2 linked regions of the Drosophila melanogaster genome follow. The protein of the gene in region 1 interacts with the protein of each later gene in a pairwise test. Each region holds a gene or a part of one and is shown in the gene's direction. Other genes may lie near its edges.

Region 1 (10,330 bases):
AATTGATTACCAGAGGAAACCCATTATGTCGAGACTCTCGACTATCACATATCCTTTACTTAACTAATTAGGCTTAAAGCCGATGTGCTCATGTACATATAATTATATAAATGATTTATTATGGTTTATGATTTTTTATAAATCAATTTATCTATAAATTACAATTTATTTATCTTGTCAAAACCTGCTGAATAGAATTATTTTTAAATAGGTAGATAAAAATGCATGTAAGGATAAGCTGGCTTGATCTTTATCTAAATGCAAATGGGCTTTAAACTTGACTAGATGGGCGAGGGACTAGTCAATACGCTTTCGTCTTGTTTTTAGCACCACAGGGTTTTTATACCACCATTATTCTTTAAGCTTATAGTATAAGTTTAAATTTAAAACTATTACGATTTCGATGATTTTGACAGTCAGATGTCAAGAACACATGCCCGGCTAGCTCAGTCGGTAGAGCATGAGACTCTTAATCTCAGGGTCGTGGGTTCGAGCCCCACGTTGGGCGATGTTTTTTATTTTAATTCAAAATTAATATACAATTAATAAACATTTTTTGAGCTCCACTTTCGGCAATTGATTTTTTACTAATTGGAAAATTATTAAGCATATTTAATTTGCCTAAAATGAGTCCCAATTAATTTGGAAGCTAAAAATAGTTTGTGTATATATGATACAAATGCATCTTGTGAATCTGCATAACCATTTCGAATAAAACAAAAGGCTAAAGGTATTACAACAATGTTTCTAGGTTTGACAGCAAAGCGCCCGTTGCCTTTAATCCGGCTTATATGCGCATGTATAAATATGCTTTCTCATATTTAGCAATGTGTTTATAGAAGTAATTTATAATTTTTATACCCGTATACCAAAGACACTAGAATAACTAGAATTTACTATAATAACACTAGAATTCTAGGGTCTTTGCTTATACTATATTCGTTAAAAAGTATGTACCAGGCAGAAGGAAGCGTTTGCGACCATTTTCTTATGTTTTTCTCATATTATTCCCCAATATCAATCGATAAGCCAGAAAAAATAAGGAAATTTCTAGTTGACATTGCCACTAGCTGAGTAACGGGTATCTGATAGTCGGGAAACTAGACTAAAACATTTTCTCTTGTTTTGTTATGAGTTGAATATTTACGATAAATATTCTATATTGTCAATGTAATTTATGTAAAGTAAATTTGGGCCTAAACTTATTTGTTGCAAGCTAATTGGCGACAATTCTTTGGCTACTTTTAAAAGGCTATTGATTCTCTCTTGGTAATATTTTGATCCTTTAAATTCTCTTTATATCAATTTGTATGATTCTTAAGCTTAATCAGCAAATGTGAGCTTTTATCGGCGATCTTCACAAGTGCCCGGCTAGCTCAGTCGGTAGAGCATGAGACTCTTAATCTCAGGGTCGTGGGTTCGAGCCCCACGTTGGGCGAATTTTCTTTTTTATATTTAGAAAATAGTTTTATTAAAAATGTTCACTAATTGCTTTCATTGAACTTTTCGATTCTGTGCGTTTGGCTTACGCCTGGGGTTGCGTGGGCTATAAGACGAAAGTCAATTTCTATGTTTTGTTTATTTATAGACGAGTTACTATATAGTGAAATACCATCGACAAGACCTAATAAGTTTTTATTTATGGCAGCACTCGCAGCTGTTTCCATTTCTATAACAATGCCCCGTGAGCTTCCCCCTGTCCCTCTAGCGTTGGCGCGTTTGAAAAGTCTGAAAGCCATTTCAAGGCTGAATCTCAACTGGAAGTGGCAGTTCACTGTGGCACCGAACAGGATGTGGACAGGATGCCATCATTCAGTTCATATGTGGAGCAAGGTCCTTAAGCTTTGAAAACAATTGTGTTAATGTGTACAATTGTTATGTCTAGCTGCTATGTTCGGAAAAAATGGATAAAATATACAAATCATTTTTTGTTTAGATCTTGACGCAGGTCACCATTGCAACCCGTTCCATATGCCTGCTTCCTCCCACATGGAGACAGTGAAATCTGAGATCAGACAAGAATGCGGAATGCATTTCCCCTTCAGACTCCACAAACAATTGGAGAGCATGAGAATCATCTTAGTTGTATTAATTACTTTGCATTATTCCATAAATAACTTTGCGGGAACAATTCTAGATGCTGTTCCCTCTGTTAATGTGGAACGACTGATGTGCATAGCTTACTTGGTGTTTTGAACTGTGCCGAGTGCTCTGCATGTATGATGTCAGCTTCAACAGCAATCCAAGGCTAGTTAATTAAAATGAATATGAAATTGCACTTGTGATTCACAAGCTGTGATTAAATTGCGGAAAGTGTCCATTTGACTTGTTGTAGGTGTGTAGTTGTCGCACCCAATTATGCAAAATAGTTACGGAATTTATGAAATCGTTTAATTTTCGATGAAAAAAGTAAAAATTTAATTTAATCAAGGAGCCTACAAAGATTTTAGCATTGAATTCAAGAAGAACAAAAGGTTATACTTTTACAAGTATAACAATCTAAATGCCTATTTGGCATACAAGTTGTTATGCTAATGGCTAAAACCTTTAGTATTTAGCTTATATATCTTAATAAATATAAGATTAACAGGAATGATTGTTTTGATCGTTTAATAAGGACTATTTTCATTGGCACTGATTTCCTCGAAACTTGTTATGGTTGAAGTGAGCTTCTTGCTTTAAATGTCGATTTAAAATAATGTCTGGCAAACAAAATGGTTGTAACTTTGTTGCATGTCGAGTGGATACATGATGACATGATAGCAATGATAGAAGAGATCATGATGGCAAGTACTATAAAAGGGTCTCATCCCACCAGGTGATACTATTGTCATCATGAGAACTCTCATGCTGTTCGTATTTGGCTTTGCTAGTTCCTGGGCCGCAGACTACGAGCTGTTGCTGGAGGACCCTGATATCTTTTCACCCTGCACTGAACCGCCGCCGGGATCGATTGGATTCCACGATGCCTTCGATATTGGCGATCTGGTAGTCGACCAGGACATGGACATCATTCACCTGTCCGAGAGTGTCACCTCAATCTGGGATGTGGAGCCCACAGATCGCATATCCGTAATGCCCGCATTCCTTATACGAAATAAGATTATTAATAAACAATTGCTTTTAAGGCCAGGTTTGCAATAATGCATTACAACCGCGGCAGCTGGGAACCGACTGTATTTAGCATGGCCACGCCGGACTTCTGCGCCTCAATGTTTGATGAGAATCAGTCGTGGTTTAAGTACTGGACCAAACACATTTCGAACCGCGATGAGGTGATGGAGAAGTGTTTTAAAACGCGTGGTGTGAGTTTTCCCTGCAAACAAAACAGTCCATCTCTGGCGCGGTGACTTTAACCTTGGGATTCCATTACAGACCGTTATAATGCACAATCCATTCGATCTGCAGCTGCGTCTAACGGACATTCGTGGTGCAACTCTCAGGGGTCGTTACAAAGCTGTGGTCACCTTTGAGGCGGTCGATGAGAAGGATGTGCCACGCCGTAATTCCATTTGCTTCGAAATCAGGGGAGAGGCCGAGAAGATAAATTAATTAAGGGCTTAATCTGTTCAAGGCGCGATATCAGTAACCTAAAAAACAATATAAACCCAATATCTACATATTTTGAAAATAAAAAGCAATCTTAAAAATATAAATATAAATAAAATATATCAACTATTCTGAACTTGATATATGTACTTGATTTGGTACAAAGTGTGTAACAGGTGACGCGAACCTTTTTTTTCGTTTGATCAACCTTATGCCCGTATGTGATCTCGGGAGCTATAAAAGCTATATTGATAAGATAAGGGATGCAGATTATAGAGAAGTACTTTCAGAAGATTGCCACGCCTACTCTACCACACCCTCTAACGACCAAAAACCGCCCAAAACTGTCACGCCCACACGGATATGTGATCGCCAAGAAAATCTTTGGGGAATTTGTTTTTTGTTTCAAACTTGTTTTTTTTTCTAGCCCAAAAGTTATTATTATTAAAACATCTTGTTTTACAATGTTTAAGCACGAATATTTTCAAGGGTCACATAACGTGATTTGCCAATTATATTGTTAGAGTTTGACAACGTCTGATTAACAGGAGATGGTTGTTACATTGTTGCGTGTTGAATCAATGTACGATGGCATACCATGATTAGATGTCATCATTTTAAAAGGTGTATAAATAAAACATATCAAAAACTCTATTGTGGCAGTGGCTATAAAGGGGTCGGATCTCACAGTTTTCGGTTCTATGGTCATCATGATATTTGTGCTGCTACTCTTATTAGGAGTGACCAGTTCCTGGGCCACAGACTATGAATTATTGCTCGAGGATCCGGACATATTTTCGACGTGCACTGATGGTCCTCCCGGATCCATCAACATCCGCCAGGCACTCAACTTAGACGACATTGTAATCGACCAGAAAGGGGATATACTTCATGTATCCGGGAACGCCACCGTCGTGTGGGATGTGCAGCCCACCGATCGGATTACTGTAACACAAACTGCAAGCTTCGGAATAATCATCGATTCTAATATCAAAACTCTTGCATCCGTGTAGGCGAGACTTGATGTTTTTCACTTCAACCGCGGCACTTGGGAGCCCACTGTCTTTAGCATGGCCACCCAGAACTTTTGCTCCATCATGTACGACAAGAACCAGTATTGGTATAAGTATTGGACAAGGTTTATAACCAATCGCCATGAGGTGGAAAAGAAGTGCTTCAGAGGGCCTGATGTAAGTGGAGTTCAAGCAATTTGACAACCAAATACGGTGGAATATAATAGCATATGGGAATAGTTCTCATATGGGATGCAGATTATTCATATGGTTGTGTGCAAAGGACACTACCATTTTTTATTGCACAATATTTTGAAAATATTCTGATTTCTTACAGACCGTTCTGGTACACGAGCCCTTCGATCTCATACTAAAATTTGAGAATTTTCGTGGACCTCTTCTTAGAGGACGTCATAAACTTGTCATATTGTTTAACGCACTAGATGAGAGGAATATACCGCGCCCAAACCCAATTTGTTTGGAGATCATAGGAGAACCACTAAAGTTGCAGTAGTTGGAACAATAGACTATTTTGTTGAATGTGTATTTTTTTTTTCAATATTGTATAATATTAAACATAGTGTTCTTAATTCCTACATTCAATAACAATTTAAACATTGCATCGTGTTTTAACAGATCTCATAACTTTAGGGGCTTGTTTTACCTTCCATATCCCCAATCAGTTAACTTCTTGATTCGTTTTGTTTTGTGGTTGGTGGCACGCGTTGACGGCAACTTGAGTTCAAGTTGCGGTTTCCATATCGGCTAGCTGCGTGTGGCAAGTACCTTCTCGGGTAACGACGTGCAGACAAAGGAGAACCGTATACTGACTGCATTTTTTTGGGGTCATGACTGCCGTTGCTGGATGGGGAATATGCAAATACAATTGTCGGTTATTGGATTACCCGATGATGATTGGCATAAGTTCCGATCGATTCAAATCGCAGCAATCGATTTGTCAATTTGCAAAGCTCTTGCCAATTCACGGAAAATGTTTCTTACAGATTTGCGAAAACTTTTAAACGGCAGGGAGGTAAGCCTCGGAACACTTTCATTTCATATTCCCGGCGAATAATTTTCTACTTTCTAAACCGAAGAGCCAGAAACAAAGACCGTCTTTAGGTGCAAATTAGCAGCGCACGATTGTGCAGGCCGCTCCGGGCAATCCGGTAAAGTCAACATCTGGCCAAAGCCGAAATTATGGCCGCGGGCACTCACTATACTATATAGTATATGGTACGTCGGACCTCATAGAAAATCAATCAGTGCGGACTTCTGCTTCGCAGGCAGGCTCTTGGATTTAGCATAAGAAACGGCTCTTTCTGGAGGCAGTGGCTTTGTTCGCCAACCCAAAAAGCTGGCAATGTAGGACGTGGCGACGGCATGGCTCTGAACCCGTTTTTTTTGGCCATCTCCGCCTCTATCCACCTAGCCGCTGCTGGGAATCTTTGGGGCCTTATCGAGGAGCAGCACCGAAATAGCAACAAAATTGCAGCATGAATGGGGCTGTGAACCAGCTGGAGAGCCGGTCCGTGTGGGCAGCCTTTGTAGGCTATTGGAAAGATCAAGAGTTTATAATGCCAGCCACACGTTTGTTGTTAGCTGTGTGTTGTGTGCATGGGTGTGGGTCTCCTCGTGGTGGTTGTGTGAACTTTTCCAGTTTGCTCTGACTGGCATAAATTGTGGGTTTTTAGGTGTCTAGCTCACTTCCCGGCCGAGTTGGCTTGCCAAGATAAATGGATACACATGGAGCGGTTGTGGTGTACTATATGTGCATGGATGCACCACGTCCATTGCACTCGCTGTCTTCCCCTGCGCTTAGACTCGATTTCGATGTCTGACGGAAACTGGAAAGTGTTTTGAATACAACCACGAACTGGCGGGAACGAGATCTTTCAGCTCGATGACTGGTTACTAAACAGTAAACAGTAAATACTCTAGAAATATGAGGACAATGAATAAAAAGTAAATGCATTCAAACCACCGCTAAGACAAACATTTAACAATTTCAGTAGCTAACTAAATGGATCTTGAAATTAAGTTGAAAAGGGGTTTTGTTAGCTGCGGCACTTTTACTATGCGTCTGGCTGCTAGGCAATCCAGCTCCACTCGCCCATTCATAAGGCGATGCCCGAACACTGGGATCAGGACCAGCTGAGCTCTCTCCCAACGCTAGCACGAAACACAACATCCACGCCAACGCGGACGCGAATGGTTTGGGCCTGGTCAACGTAATGACAGCTTCGCGTGTTTTGGCCCGCGAGTGGATGGCTGGCTTATTGGTGGTGGCTATATCGCTCCACGACTACAAAATGCTCATTCACAAAACGCCGACAAGACGCTGCCCACGCATGCGAGGCAAGAACCGCTTATCAAGCTGTCGCTGGCGGTCGGCTGTCGCACACAAAAAATGGTTTTGCAACAAATAAACAATAATAATTTGCATGTGGGCCGCGTCTTGGAAACGTGGTTCAATCATTGAAAAAATCAGCTTATAGGCTTTGAAAAATTTTGGTCGCTTTTGGTCTTTTTGGAATTTATTCTGTCGCGATTTTTCTTGGATATTTATTGATTTTCCTCGATTTCTCTATCATCCCACACATCACATTCTTTGAATTTATTTAAATCTATACGATGGTGATATCACGAGAAAAGTACTTAAAGTGTTATTATCAATAGTATTTGTATTTTTGCCTTAACTTGAAACGAACGAATTCCCAATACAATAGTTTCGAACATACTTTTTCAAACCCAATTTATTATTTATTTCATGTCGCATGTGGTGTTTTGTGAAAGGGGGAAAGAAGTCGTTATCATCGCTTGAATACCGCGTTCAATTCGTTTTTGTGGAGCTGGCAATTGTTTAGGGTTTTTGTTGCACCCAGTGGTTGCATGGCAAAACGAGTATATGAACAAAAAAAAAAAATAAATAAATAAAAGCTGGCAAAAATAGCCAAAAATCGATTTCCGTTAAGTTTTTGCTTGAGCTGTTGCATTTATTTGCGCATTTCCCGGCTTTTCCGCTGCCATTGTCTCGTTCGTTCGTTTACCTTTGAGCAGTGCTGTTTATGCAATTGCCATGGCCCAGAGCTCAGGCTTCTTTTGGGCATTTTGCATTGAAATCGATTTTGATTTAGCAATTGACATTTTAATGGTATTTATTACTGCCCGATTGCGCAAAAACCGAAAGTTAAATGCAACTGCAATTGGCAGTTGCTATTTGGGCTTGATGAATCTGCTCCTGTTATCACAGTGGTCACCAAATGGGAACATTTTATGTCTTCATTCAGACGCCTCCTGCTGCTTTCGATCTTTGGCTGCTTCGCTCGTCTGGCTCTTATTTTCAATGTCATATGTTGTGTAATTGAAGCGAGCCAAAACAAAACAAAACGAAAACTCGTTTTCGCTTTTATTGACCATTTGCGCGTCCTCACTCGCTATTATTTCTCTTAAAGAAAGAAGCACACATAAAGTCTTTGGCGGCCTTTTACGGCTGCCTCTTAACAATCTGCTGCCGTTCGGCCATCGTGACACTGATACTTGGCCAGAAGCCAGCGGCAGCTCTTTGTGGTCTTGACCAAATAAGTAAGTTGGCTGAACAGGATTGTGTGAGAAAAACCCATGTGGGAGCCATTTCAGTTCGCTTTTTGGCCAAATATGAGCTTCCAGTGATTATTGAGGGGAGAACTTGTGGATTATTGACGAAACTTCCCCATGTTCATAAAAGTCCAATCAATCCATCTTGTATTATAATGATGATGACGACTTTCTTTTGGACTTGTACTCTCGCTCTTTTACTAGAAGTCTTATTAATATGCAAATTTGATTAATCCAGATTACCTCAGCAACTTAATTAAAAGCATCTCCCCTAGGGGATTGCTCGATTCCGTATTCAATCGGAGCCATATGGATCGGAGCTCACCCACTTTGATTACATTAAATGTGTCTCTCACTTTGCTTATTCGTTGATGTCATGTTTGGGTTGTTTGCTCGTTGAGTTTGCACCATAATTTTCTGCTTTATTCGCATTTAATGAAATGCGCAGACAACAAAAGTCAAACTCAATTAGATTTAATCCAGCGAAAAAACGATGACGATATGAACTTTGAACTTTTGGGCAATCACGCCTTTAAATGTATTTTATATATTTTATCTTAAATGGAAAATTTTTCACTTTTGTCATCTACATCTATAGTAAGTTGCATTTTTTTAGTTTCGTTTAAATTTTGATTAATTAATTATGGCTGTAAAACCTACGACTCGTTCCCAAGTCCCAATATAATGGAACAAAAATATTTTATACAATTGTTAAACTAATTTACTCTCTTTTTTTGTTGCAGAACACTTCGCCCCTGTGGGAGGATTTTGTGGCTAAGGCCGGAAAACTGCACACTTGTTTGAGGTGAGTTTACTTTGGGTGTGAATTGGTTGCTCCATTCTGGAAAATGATATTTCAACAGCAGCCCACTAACGAGCGCAGTTGCAAAACTTTAGAACGAGAACTGCGTGTAAATAAACAAATTTGTTTGCCTAAATGCTTGCCCTTATGCTTTCCACTTCCTCACACTCAGTCGTAAAACATATAATGTGTCTATGATTATTTTTGTGCTCTTTCTGCTGTTGCTAAATTTCTGCTCGTGGGGTGGCATTTGTTTGTTTTATTTTCTCTGTGCTTTTTATGCTCAGACTTGGCCCAAATTTTCTCGCGGCAATGTCTGGGCATAAGTATATAGCCGCCGCCAAATAGCGGCTGCATTAATCACTACCCCAAATCCTGTTGTCCGAGTTCAAATCACGGGGCTTGCCAAAACTCGCTCCGAGTGCTTGCCCACTGCGCTTGACACACATCTTGACCGATTCCCCGCTAGGTGAGGACGCCCGGATCAAGACGCCCAGATGGGCACCACTTTTGTATACCCTAGATGTGGGTATATTACGCCAAAAGCGGAGCAGGTGCAATTAGTTCAATCAGCGCTTGTTAAACTAGCTTATCACTTACTATGGTTCCAATCGTATGAGAACCTACTACTTCTTAGCATATTTCATCGGAAAGGGTATTCAAATATTTAGTTACTGCAGAGACTGTGGATATTCCATGTGTTTTTTTTTTAGCTTTCGCCTAATTGAAATGTCGCCCACGGGCAATTGGAGAGAATGTTTATTAAATCTATCTGGCTGGGTCCCACAATAATAATGATGTTGTATTTGCTCTCATCTCTTCACAGGGCCGCCATCCAGGCAATCGCCGCCTATTTGGATGCCTTCCAAAAGATAGCCGATGCGGCGACCAACTCAAGAGGTAAGTTCAAACCGCGGACTCGTCTGGTCTGCTCGCCTATCAGCCGCTACTGAAAGTACAGGGGATTCCCCTCCATTCCCCCGCCCAGGTACTGCATCATAGCTTTCCGCTGCTCATTATTCATGGGTCTACGCGCAGTCGGCGGCGGTCATCGATCTGATTTTTATACACATTCATGCTTTCGGTGTTTACGTTGTTGATTTTCCCCTTCTCTGCGTCCGACTGGCGATGTTGCTGTTCTGTCTGAGCTCACGCATTTCGCTGGTTCTGCTATTTATATTTATTTATCGAGTGCCCGATTATGCAACGTCCGACGTCCGTTTCTCACAGCCCACCTCAGTCCGCACGGGAAATGCGAAAATTACCAGATGGGAGAGCTGTGATCGTTACCAATCGCCGCTTTGGGGAAGTCGCTCAAGCTTAAAGATGTGGCTGTTACATTGACATTATTCAATTATCATGAATTTAT
Region 2 (10,903 bases), on another chromosome or scaffold:
CGCTAGCGCAAGCGAGTCTTCCCGTGCCCAAGTCGCCCAACTTAACCGGTCCTCCTACCGTTTCAGTTCCCCATCACTCGGCGACCACCACAATGCACACCATTCAGCAGATCACGGCGGGTGCGGCGGGCGGAGCCGGTGCGGTCCAGTTAACACCGGGTCTGGTGCCCCTGGTTACCTCTACGCTCATCTCACATAATGCGGCTGCTCAACAGCAGTCGCAGAAGCAGCAAGCAGCCGCCGCAGCAGCTGCACAGCAACAGGCCGCAGCCGCCGCTGCTGCCCAACAGCAAGCAGCTCAGCAACAGGCGGCTGCTGCACATCAGCAGCATCAACAACAAGTGGCCGCGCAACATCAACAGCAGGCTGCAGTGGCTGCACACCAGCAGCAGCAACAGCAGTTGCAGCAGCAGCAACAACTGCTTCAGTTGTCCATCCAACAGGCGGCTCACCATCATCAGCAGGAGCAGCATCGTCAACAGCAGCAACAGCAACACCAGCAGCAACAACAGCAACAGCATCACCAGCAGCAACAGCAGGGTCATCCACAGGCCCCGCCACCGCAGCAGCAACAGCAGCCGCCGCCCATCGCCTTGATCAGTGACCCAAGTGCTCTGGCACGTGCCGCCATCCAGCTGCAGCATCTGCCAGCGAACGTGGAACAGCACCCGGTTGTTTACTAACAGTAGCCCCTCCTGCACGGCTACACTCCCACCACAGCCCACTCCAGCAGCACGACCAGCACCTCAATAGCTGCCACAGCGGCCACTGCGTCGTCGCAAGCGGCGTGGTGAAGGCATGCGTGCCACCAGTGAGCCAGTGCTAGTGAGCCGAGCTGACGCGACTTCTCTAGATAGGACACACATCATAACAAGCGCACCCCATATAAGCAGCTAGTTGTATGTACAATAGTTTTAGCAGCGCGCTGGTTACGCTGATCGGTGGCCCCAAGCGGATATCGTGATACGCTGGGTTTCTAGGGTGTGTCGATTTTTAAAGCAAGCGTGTGTGGTAAATATTACTTTTAGGACGAAATGGCACAGTATTGCCTTTAAAATGTCCAGTCTTCTAAAGCCCCAAAATTTAATTGATGGTAATTAAATATTTTGTTATCAATTATTAAGATTTTAATTCGTGAAATATTTTAAATCAAGTAATTTAAAATAATCAAATCACCCTGGAAACTCAACGAGATATGTGTCCCAATCGCAAGCAAATTAAACACTCCTCAATTAGTCTGCCGCCGCCAGCTTTAACGTGCAATACGAATCATCTCATAGTTTGTTCTTGGTATCTCTCCCTTTTATGTGTATCTTTAATGCTTAGGCGCTTAGCGTCTAATTTTATTCACGTGTTTTCTACATTTTTGAAATGTGTGCCAGGCGGCGCGTGACTTTGTTTGGGTCGATCGATATGGTTTTTGTGATATCCGATTGTTCCTTAGCTGCGCTCAGTGAATCAAATGGATCCGAAGACCAATCCGTCTCAGGCAATTTTCTCGCTAGACACTTAAAGTTAAGGGGTTTTTGTTGCCGTAACCAGCAGAAGCGCACCATCTTGTATTTTTATTGTGTTTTGACTAAGTTATGATTATATCCATATGGAGCGACATTCATAGAAAGCATCCTCATCATACATAAACATATGCAGATATGCATAGGCATACAATTATAATATATACTTATAGTTTGTAAATAACACGCAACAAGACCCTTGGAAATCTATCGAAAATTATTATCACAACTGTATTATTTTTGCATTTTCCAAGGAGGAACATTAATAACGAGCTAACGCGCGAAAACTTTCACATATATTGGCCAAGTGTAGTCCTTAACCCAGTTTACAATATATCGAGCCCTGAAAGTGGGGCTGTGATGATTATGAGATATATATACAATTATATGACAGTGGAAACAGAAGCAGCATAACGGCAGACCCAACTAACGAGATAATGAAAAGGGATTAAACAAACAAGTTATTATATTTAATGTTAGTTGAACTACTAAAAGTAATGATTGAAAGCACGGATCGAAGGAATGGAGATAGGAGTTCCCGCGTGGGAGTGCGAGTAGTTTTTAGTTGGGCGCGTCGCCCAATCATTATGATTACAATTACAATTACGATTATGATATATGGAATACTAAACCTATAACAACAAGTTATTACCCCACTATTAAAGTTAACAAGCAACAACAACAACAACCCATACATATACATATATACGACTAGGCACAACTCTAAAATTAATTATAACCCTTAACTGTGCTTGTGTTGAAAACAACAAACATTAAGAACAAGTTTAAGCCGTAACGAAATAAAAGAAAGTGAAACAATTAACGAGAAATCCCCAAGCGCCACAAGCAACAACATATCTGCTTTAAATTTTACAAAAAAGGAAGAGAAATCTAAAAAAAAGTATATTAAACACGAGTCAAAGTTTAATAATTTAGTAAGAAAACAATACACAGACAAACTGACAGACACACGACCCACACATTATGCTTCCTTTTAAATGCAACATTTTATACATTTAATTATCGAGAATTAAATGCTTAAAATACAATTTTAATTTAATTTAACAAACTGTAACTGTACACGAATAAACGGAAAATGTAAAACTGTTTGTTTAACCATTTAAAGACAGAACTTGGTTTTATTTAACCTAATTTTATTGATTCACGATCATCGCAGCAAAGTGCACATTTTGAATACACTTAGAATGCAGGGAACAATTGAAAATTGAAAATGAAATTATCATTGATATGCATGTATTTTGCTTTCACACTGAAAATAATTGTTTTCGAAGTCGCAAACACACACTATCACACGTCTATAATTATGTAGTTGAGTATCCGTGTTAGTTTTTGGGTGTTTTTGGATTTTTGGTGATGTGTATAGAGCGCAGTATATAGAATGCATATAGAGATATATATTATTGTACGATTATTGACTAATATATAACGGATATGTATGTGTAGTACGTGAAAGGCAAGTTTATGGAGACAATTCACTTGTGTTGCAATATTAATGAACAAACGAAATAATTTACTTGTAAGTTGCGTAGTGCAAGCCGTGAGAATAGAGGTAACTTTCTCCACAACCCACACTCACTGATCGACAGACACATACCCATTAACCTTAATGATTAAACGCTGGGACAGCGGCAAAAATGTTTCCTAGGAGAAAAATTAACAGAAGCTGAAGAAAACGCTTGGAATGCCCCAATTAACGTAAACATTAAAAGCAACAAACAGTAACAATACTAAATAGAAACAATAATGTACTATAAATCAGATACAATACAACACTATATATACCTAAAATATATATGCCTATACGACAGAAATTGGACAACAAATGAAATATATATATATATAGTATATATTGTACAAGTTACGAGTAAAATGTAATTAAAATTTATGAAGTAGTAAGCACTAAACAAAACAAATAAATGAGCAGCAAAAACGCGCAGCATAAGCATAAAACCGGATTTTACAAGAAACTGAGTAACCCTGAGTAGAATTATATTTTTTGGTTAAGGATATTATTATGATTTCGTATCTCTGGGATACCCCGAAAACTATCGCTTCGTTTTCCCATCTCCAAAAGGATAAGTCGTTTAGGTAGCGCGAATTCCGCCCGATCTGCCTGGAAACCCACCCCTAAATGACCTTCGCACTAGGTAGCATCGGACTACTGACCGTGGCAACTGCGTGAATTCATTAGTATTCCAAGTACCACGATCGAGAACAGACCGCAGATGACGTCCGCAAGCGATACAGGTAAGGAATTGGCTAAAAACGAAAAAAAAAAAAACAATACAACTGAGCCTATTAAGACGATCGTCCTTCAACTTTTTAGAACCCACTGCAGTAACGCTGCTCCAGCTGAATGACGATGTCCTGGCTTTGATCATCCGCCAGCTGGACACGTACCAGCAGTTCCAGATTAGCAGGTTGAACAGGCGCTTGGCGGGCGTAGTGCACATGCTCTGGGAGACCCGTGTTCGCAACGTTGTCCTGCAGGACGAGATGTTCGGACGCTCGGGAGCCAATTCCCGACAGTTTGTGGCTTTCATCTTGGCCCTGGCTCCGCACATGCAGCACCTGAGTTGCAAGCAGTTGGATGTCCGAAGACTGCGACTGCTCAGTAACCACACGCTGGAGAGGATTCACTCTTTCGAGTGGCTGGGCAATGTGTATAGACGGAGACGCGTTCGCTTCGTGGATGAGGATGTGCGAATGCTGCAGAGGGTATTTCCCAATCTAAAAAGCCTCAAACTTAGAGGCTGCCAAATTACCGGAAAATACCTATGCGACCTGGATGAGCTTACCGATCTCCGCCTGCATGATTGCCATTTTCTGGAATCGCAACACTTTAGGGACATCTTCCGGCAGCTGCGACTACGCAAATTTGACATAATGGAGGACTGTGACGAGGTGAACTGCTGTGATCTGGCGGATCTGCAGCTGTGTCCCACACTGGAGCATATCAAGATTGCGGATTACCACGTGTGTATGGAGTCGGATATTACGCAGCAACTACTGACATTGCCAAACCTGCGAAAGCTGTCGATCTATTCCAGGAACTTTGTCTTTGATGTCCTATCGAGGATAGTTAGTCCCACAAGTCCTCCCGGCGATGGCCGACAAATTGAGGCCTTTAGTTTCAGTGGAGTTTTGCACGACTATGGCCGGTTCTTCAGGGAGCTGGGAAATCTTAGTCACTTGACGCGACTGGAGCTGCACAGCCAGCCAGAGGAAGAGGAGGAGAAGGAGGAGGGCGTCCAGGTGCAGTGCCTGGGGGATCAGATACTGCGGCAGCTAGCCAGTCAACTGGGTGAGCTAACCGAACTCCATTTGTGTGGCTATCAGTTGGAGAGTCCTTTGGGCCTGCTGGAATTCGTGATCAATTGTCGACAGCTGAGAGTCCTCGACATCACTCGAACCTTCTGCCATGGAGAATCCTTCGTCTGGAGGTGTATTGCCATTTTGGCCAAGCAAAGCTGGCGCATTCGCCCTCTAGAGCTGTGGATCCGGCATAGCGATATCAATCCGGAAATAGTTCAAAGTTCGCGCTGCGTTGATAACATAAGGCTGATAAAGGTGGATGCAAAACAGATTGGACCCAATACGGACTACACATCTGGCGTACTCAAGTTTAGCTTTGTGCGGTAAACCGCTGCCCCATGAGTGGGATATGCTCCAACTGATCAAGCTCCAAAATGAAAAGGTTTTAAACTGAAATATAGTTAAGTGTATACATTTATCAACTGCTTACCAAATAAAAAGATGTAAATATACATATTTGTAAAGCGATTTTTCAATGCATCATTGTTTTTACTGCCCTTAGGGATAAAAAAAATTAAATTCAAGTTGTAGTACACTTTAAAATTCAAACACCCAAGTCCTTGCAATCAGCGTCAATCCAAATGAAATTCGAGTTCAGAGCTAAAACCTCGTCGACAAGCCAAACTTTGGATCGATGCCCACGAGGATGACCAAATGCGCCAGCCCTTCCGCCGAGCCTCCGTCTACCTCCACCTGCTGTTAATAACCGAGGCCGTGATCGGACTGCTGATCCTGGTGGTGACCGCCTACTACCACACCGTGCTCACCGGCTATCTATCGGATATTGAGTGCCGCCTGGTCTACGGCTATCTGTTTGGGATCTACGTGTTTGGCGCCCAGGTGGTGGTGACCTTTCTCTGCAGCATTGCCATGTGGCGGCGAATTTGGCGGCGTCGCTGCACGCCGAACATTCGCCTCTTGCTATCCGTGTGGGCCTTCTACTCCTGCGTAATCATTGCCTCCGGTTTCGGGTGCGTTTGGAATCTTTACCGGGGTGTCGATGTCCTCGAGAATGCGGCGGACACCTCGCTGACCCGCGGCATCGACATGTACTACTCGTGTCCCGAGTGGAAACTCCTGTGGGACGGACTGCAGTGGCACAAGGAGTGCTGCGGGGTGCATGGCTACAAGGACTGGATGAACGCGGAGTGGATGCCACGGCGGGAGAATAACTGCACGTCGATGGTCCTGGCACCCTTCGCCTGCTGCAAGCGCTCCTGCGACAGCTGCTTTAACAATTTCCTGCCCAGTGAGGGGCAGTCCATCGGTGGCAATAGCCGGCAGCCTTTTCCCGCTCTCACCGTGGACTCAATCAATGCGAACGGATGCTTGCCTGCGTTCGTTAGTGCGGTGTGGAACTGCTTTTACATCCTGATGGCGTTATGGGTCCTGGCCCTTAAGTTTCTGGTAAGTAATTGGTAATGGGCAACGTTTTAAAGTCAGAACAATGGTGAATATTGGAGCCATATTCATTAAATTCTGTCAAATTCATTAGCGTAAGTCATATTGAAATCAAAAAATTTGAATATGCAACAAAATTGTATTTTAAGATAAGACCTCCCTAAGTCAATCATCTTTTTAGATCGTGCTTTGTTGTATGACCAAGTTCATAGTTCACCGGCAGAACGAGGGCGATGGCTGCGATAATGTGGGACTCACGGACGATGATGGACATCCCTTGGTCGTGGTGGTGGGTTTATCCATTTACTATCCATCGATAGCACCTAAATCAGTCCATTCCCCAGAAATATCCGTGTAACGTGCGCTGTGTAACAATTGCCGAGGATGATCTGGTATCCGACAACGTTCCCGATATTAACTACTGCAATTGCACCGAAATGGACGACGAACCGTGTGGATACTAATATTGTGCTTAATTTTACTTTTATATTTTATATTAATTTAATTAAATTTACGAATTTGAGTTAACTTCATATCCAATCGGTGAACGCAATATATTATTTATTGGATATTATAGGATACTTATTACATGGATGTTGTAACATTGGATGTTAAATGGATTAACGGCGCATCCTCTTGGATTTCTTCAAAGTCTGACCCACCAGTTGAGCAATATGTTTGCGCAATGCCAAGAAAGGCTTCAAGCAGACGCGCTGCTCGACGAGACCCACAGCAATGCGGTGAAAGAACTCGGTGACATCCACGGGCTTGGCCAGCAGCTGACCTTGTGATACCGAGCCGTTTTCCTCTGAGGCCTCGGGCGTAGGGCTACGTGCCATTCTACGGATGAATGGTTCCAAGTTGCCCCTGCTACGTTGGGAAACGCGAGCTCCAATGGACTCTGATAGCGCATTATTGGCGCGAGAGAAGGTGAGACGCTCCTGAGATCCCGAGTCGTTTTGATCCGGAGTCTCTGGCTTCTGTATCACCAGTTCGGGTGAGGTGGGGTTTTTCTTTGGAATTTTCGGAAACTCGGTAATTTCGGTAATCTCCAAAGCACTGTGGGGACGTCTTCTGTAGAGAATCCGAACCCGTTATTCCACGTTCTACATTACGAAACTATAACTTACGGTGTACCCGCCTCATAAGTGACATATGGGGACCAGTCTGCCCCATCCAAATCCATACTAAAAGGTTCACAAAATGAAGAAAAATGATTTTGTTTTATAACATTAAATTTACTCACTCATCTTCGTTGGAACAGTCATCATCTTGATCACTTTCCCTGATTATAAGGCAACTTAAAAATAATCTATCAAAACATTATATTAAAAAGACTTACACAGAAGACTCGCAGGTAATCTCGTCACTTTCGGGAGCACTAGAAAGGAAATACATATATTGTCAGTGTTTTTCTGAAGCTAAATTAATGAAGTCTTACGTAGCTTCTTGATATTCATCATCATCGCCCACAATATGAGGAACCTTTGATTGGGACCTGCAATGAATAATCCATCAATATATTTAATGAACTGCTTTAATTTTAATTACATTTTTAACAAATTTTCAACGCCTAGCTCCTGGAAAATGACAATGTGAAAAGCCGTGCGGCCAGTGTGTCCACTCCAAGGAATGTTTAATAAGAACATCAGTGTTGATCAAAATACTGTTGAAAACTTACTGGAGCATATGTAATTAATATATAAAATTCAGTTAAAGCTCAAGTCACGTGTTCTTAACATTTAGTAAAAATAGAAATTTATACTAAAGGTTTTGGTAAATTTGAGCCTTAAAATTTTGGTTAAGTTTAGCCTTAAAATGGCAGTTAAACATAAAAAGTTTAAATTCCTATAAAAAGACGTACCAGTGTTGTACAACAGGCTTAATTTACAAACTTCCAAATACAAATGTAATTATACATATTTATGTAAAGTCAAGCCATCACAATTTAATTCCACCTTTGGAAATGTTTTTATATATTGGGTGTTCGTTTTTATTGAACTTGACATGCTTATGACTAAATAGTTAAGGAAACTGGAATTGGAATAAATACAGCTCGACCAAAAACACAAGCCACAATTATGCAATAAATTCAATCCTTTAATGTGACATATAGTTAACTTATTCGAGTACTCTTTCTTAGACATATGTGGGCTATAAACATTGTAAAATCTCTACTGCATTCGATTGGGAAACATAAACCACAAGACATGGGCGGAAATAGCCTATTCCTGGCTGATTTCATTGGCATCTGAGAAATCCGAGACGGCGACGCTGCTGGTGCTGATTAAATGTCGATCGGGCATTTCGCCGATGGAAGGAAGAGTGGTGCTATCGCTGGCGCTGGACAAAGATATCTCCTCCCAGCTGACGCCGGAGTCGCATTCGTTGCCCGGGGAAACGGGTGTGGCGTCGGCATTGTGCGGCTCATCCTCCGGTGCCTGGCCAATGCTGATAGCCGGCGTTGCTCTGGAACGTTTGCCAACTAGTTCGACGTTTTGATTGCGATCCGCAGCAATGCGCTTGCGATCGGGAATTTGATTGCCCGTGGTGGGACTCCAGTCCATGGCACGGTGCACCAAAGCCCGAAAAGTTATACGGATCGGCTCGCTCGGTGGACTGTCCATGTCTGAGGGATTTCTTCTGGACACTTGCGGCGACATGATCATCGTGGAGTTGTGCAAAGCACTGGGATGCGAAGTCAAAAAATCAGACTCGCTCTCCTGTCGACATTAATGAGAAGCTAATTACTATTTATTGTTTATTGTTAACTGAATACTTTTCCCACGTGCAGAGCCCTTTCTAGATCCTCATCCTGGGGACTGATACTAGCTGATTGCTGCACGACACTTGCTAATTCGGTCATTTCCTCAATATCCATGCCTTCCTCGTAAACGCCTGCGCCTGAGCAAATAGTTAGTTATATATGTATGTATGTTAAGGACGTCTAATTTAGAATATCTTACTTTTGAGGAAGTCAACTAATCTCCTGTTTGTTCGGCTGCGTAACTCCATTTTCAATGGGACAAAAACAACAACTTTAGTACTAATATTATGTGGTTACAATGCATTTGCTCTTGTTCTTGCTGCTAACGGAACTTTTCGCCAAACTGAAATCGTCTATAACGCCATATCGATAGTTAAGATGTGATCTCAAGTAATGGTCACACTTAGAGATGGTGCAACAAGTTTTCGAGTTGTATGTGAAAATATTAAAAACTATTTAAAAAAAAAAAAAAACGATAAGGCTCTGAAAATGTTGTGGTTATTATAAAGTGATATAAGTGATTAAGTTCTATAATGTAACTTGATAAAATTGTATATGTTTTCCTCGTAATTTAAGTCCAGTCTTTTAATTACCTCAACAAAAAGCCTTTAAACTTCGTTTGGTATTACACTTAAAAAACAATTTATGGGTAAAAAGCTGGGCTCCAAAATGGCGAAGTTTTAACACCAGCTCTGCGAAGTTGAAATGCATCGTGAAAAAAGTAAATACTTTGCGAACTTTTTGTGTGGTCAACCTGCTGACCAAAGTTGCAGCTTTCACTACCCACAACGCTGGCAATTGTTTTTCTAATTTAAGTAAAAAAATATGCGTCTCTTTGCATTTCGTTTGCATGCCCAGCCACCTGCGAGTTTTCTGGCCCCCTGAACACGCCCCTTTCACTTTTTACATACATACCTCGGACCCCATCGTTGCATCCCAAAACGAAAAGCGAGTTGAAATTCAACAAAATGTCAAAATGCCACTTGAAGTCAGTTTGCCATTTTCGCTGCCATGGAGCGCCTTTTCGACCCGAAAATTGTTCTTTCTGTGGGGCAGTTTTCAGCTCGACTTTGTCCCCATGGAAAGTCATAATACCCTGAATATTTTGAGATCATACACGGACTGGGGTGCTTCAGAAATATGCAGGCTTATGAAAACCTATTTAATAGCATTCGTAAATTTTTCGTGCCTTAATTTAGATAGGTTAAAAAAAGAATTTACGTTACATGTGTACCTTGTTAAGTTTTTTAAAAAACAAAAATATATAATTTATTATATTCCATATATTTACATATTTTATACAATTTATTTTGGTTTTTCATATTTTTCAAGGTATTTACATTATTTTCTTGTTATATTTTGGGCATAACTTTTTTCCTGATACTATTTTCTATATAACCAAATTATTTTGCTGGTTAAAACCAGCGACACCAAAAATAAAAGCACAAAAAATAGGAAAAGTTTCGATGTCGTCGCGTTGGCGAGCATTGCTTCTTTTGCATAGGAGTCGCCATTGAGTCCCAACTGCATTTGGCTTTACTTTCCCCTCGCCGTCGACCCACCCAAACCTCAGTTTTAGTGGCACGTCAAAGGCAAATAAATAAAAAAAAGAATGAAAAAAAAAAAAATTGAGAATAGAAGAAAAACCTGGACCAAAGCCGTTTGTGTTAGCCCGCATTTTGTACAGTTTTTGGCTGGCATTTAAAGTCCGTTCAATTACCGCGAAACACGTTTGACAGGGCAACAAAAAATAAAATAAAACGTCGACTTGAATTATTTGCGTTAGCTAAGGTAACGAGTTTAAGCGTTCTGAGTGGCGAAAATGTATTCAAATTTTATGCGTTCCTTTAACCCTTTAATGCCCCACCCCTTTTCGCAGGCAGTG

The links.
Region 2: the proteins of CheB42b (region 1) and Tsp33B interact in a two-hybrid assay, tested with the Drosophila melanogaster proteins (one large-scale study listed by BioGRID).

What each region holds. Positions count from the first base shown.
Region 1 is NT_033778.4:6,937,916-6,948,245, reverse strand, and holds CheB42b (chemosensory protein B 42b), read left to right. Parts: upstream 1-4,250; 5' UTR 4,251-4,259; coding exon 4,260-4,496; intron 4,497-4,562; coding exon 4,563-4,739; intron 4,740-4,899; coding exon 4,900-5,076; 3' UTR 5,077-5,150; downstream 5,151-10,330. Other genes in the region: CheB42c (chemosensory protein B 42c), read left to right, coding at 2,836-3,072, 3,129-3,305, 3,376-3,552; mim (missing-in-metastasis), read left to right, coding at 8,903-8,964, 9,788-9,861.
Region 2 is NT_033779.5:11,786,905-11,797,807, reverse strand, and holds Tsp33B (tetraspanin 33B), read left to right. Parts: upstream 1-5,442; 5' UTR 5,443-5,504; coding exon 5,505-6,257; intron 6,258-6,432; coding exon 6,433-6,540; intron 6,541-6,595; coding exon 6,596-6,715; 3' UTR 6,716-6,783; downstream 6,784-10,903. Other genes in the region: crol (crooked legs), read left to right, coding at 67-683; CG14937 (uncharacterized protein), read left to right, coding at 3,761-3,782, 3,862-5,177; CG14932 (uncharacterized protein), read right to left, coding at 6,872-7,325, 7,382-7,438, 7,498-7,536, 7,594-7,632, 7,693-7,749, 7,803-7,804; CG14931 (uncharacterized protein), read right to left, coding at 8,477-8,974, 9,031-9,155, 9,218-9,266.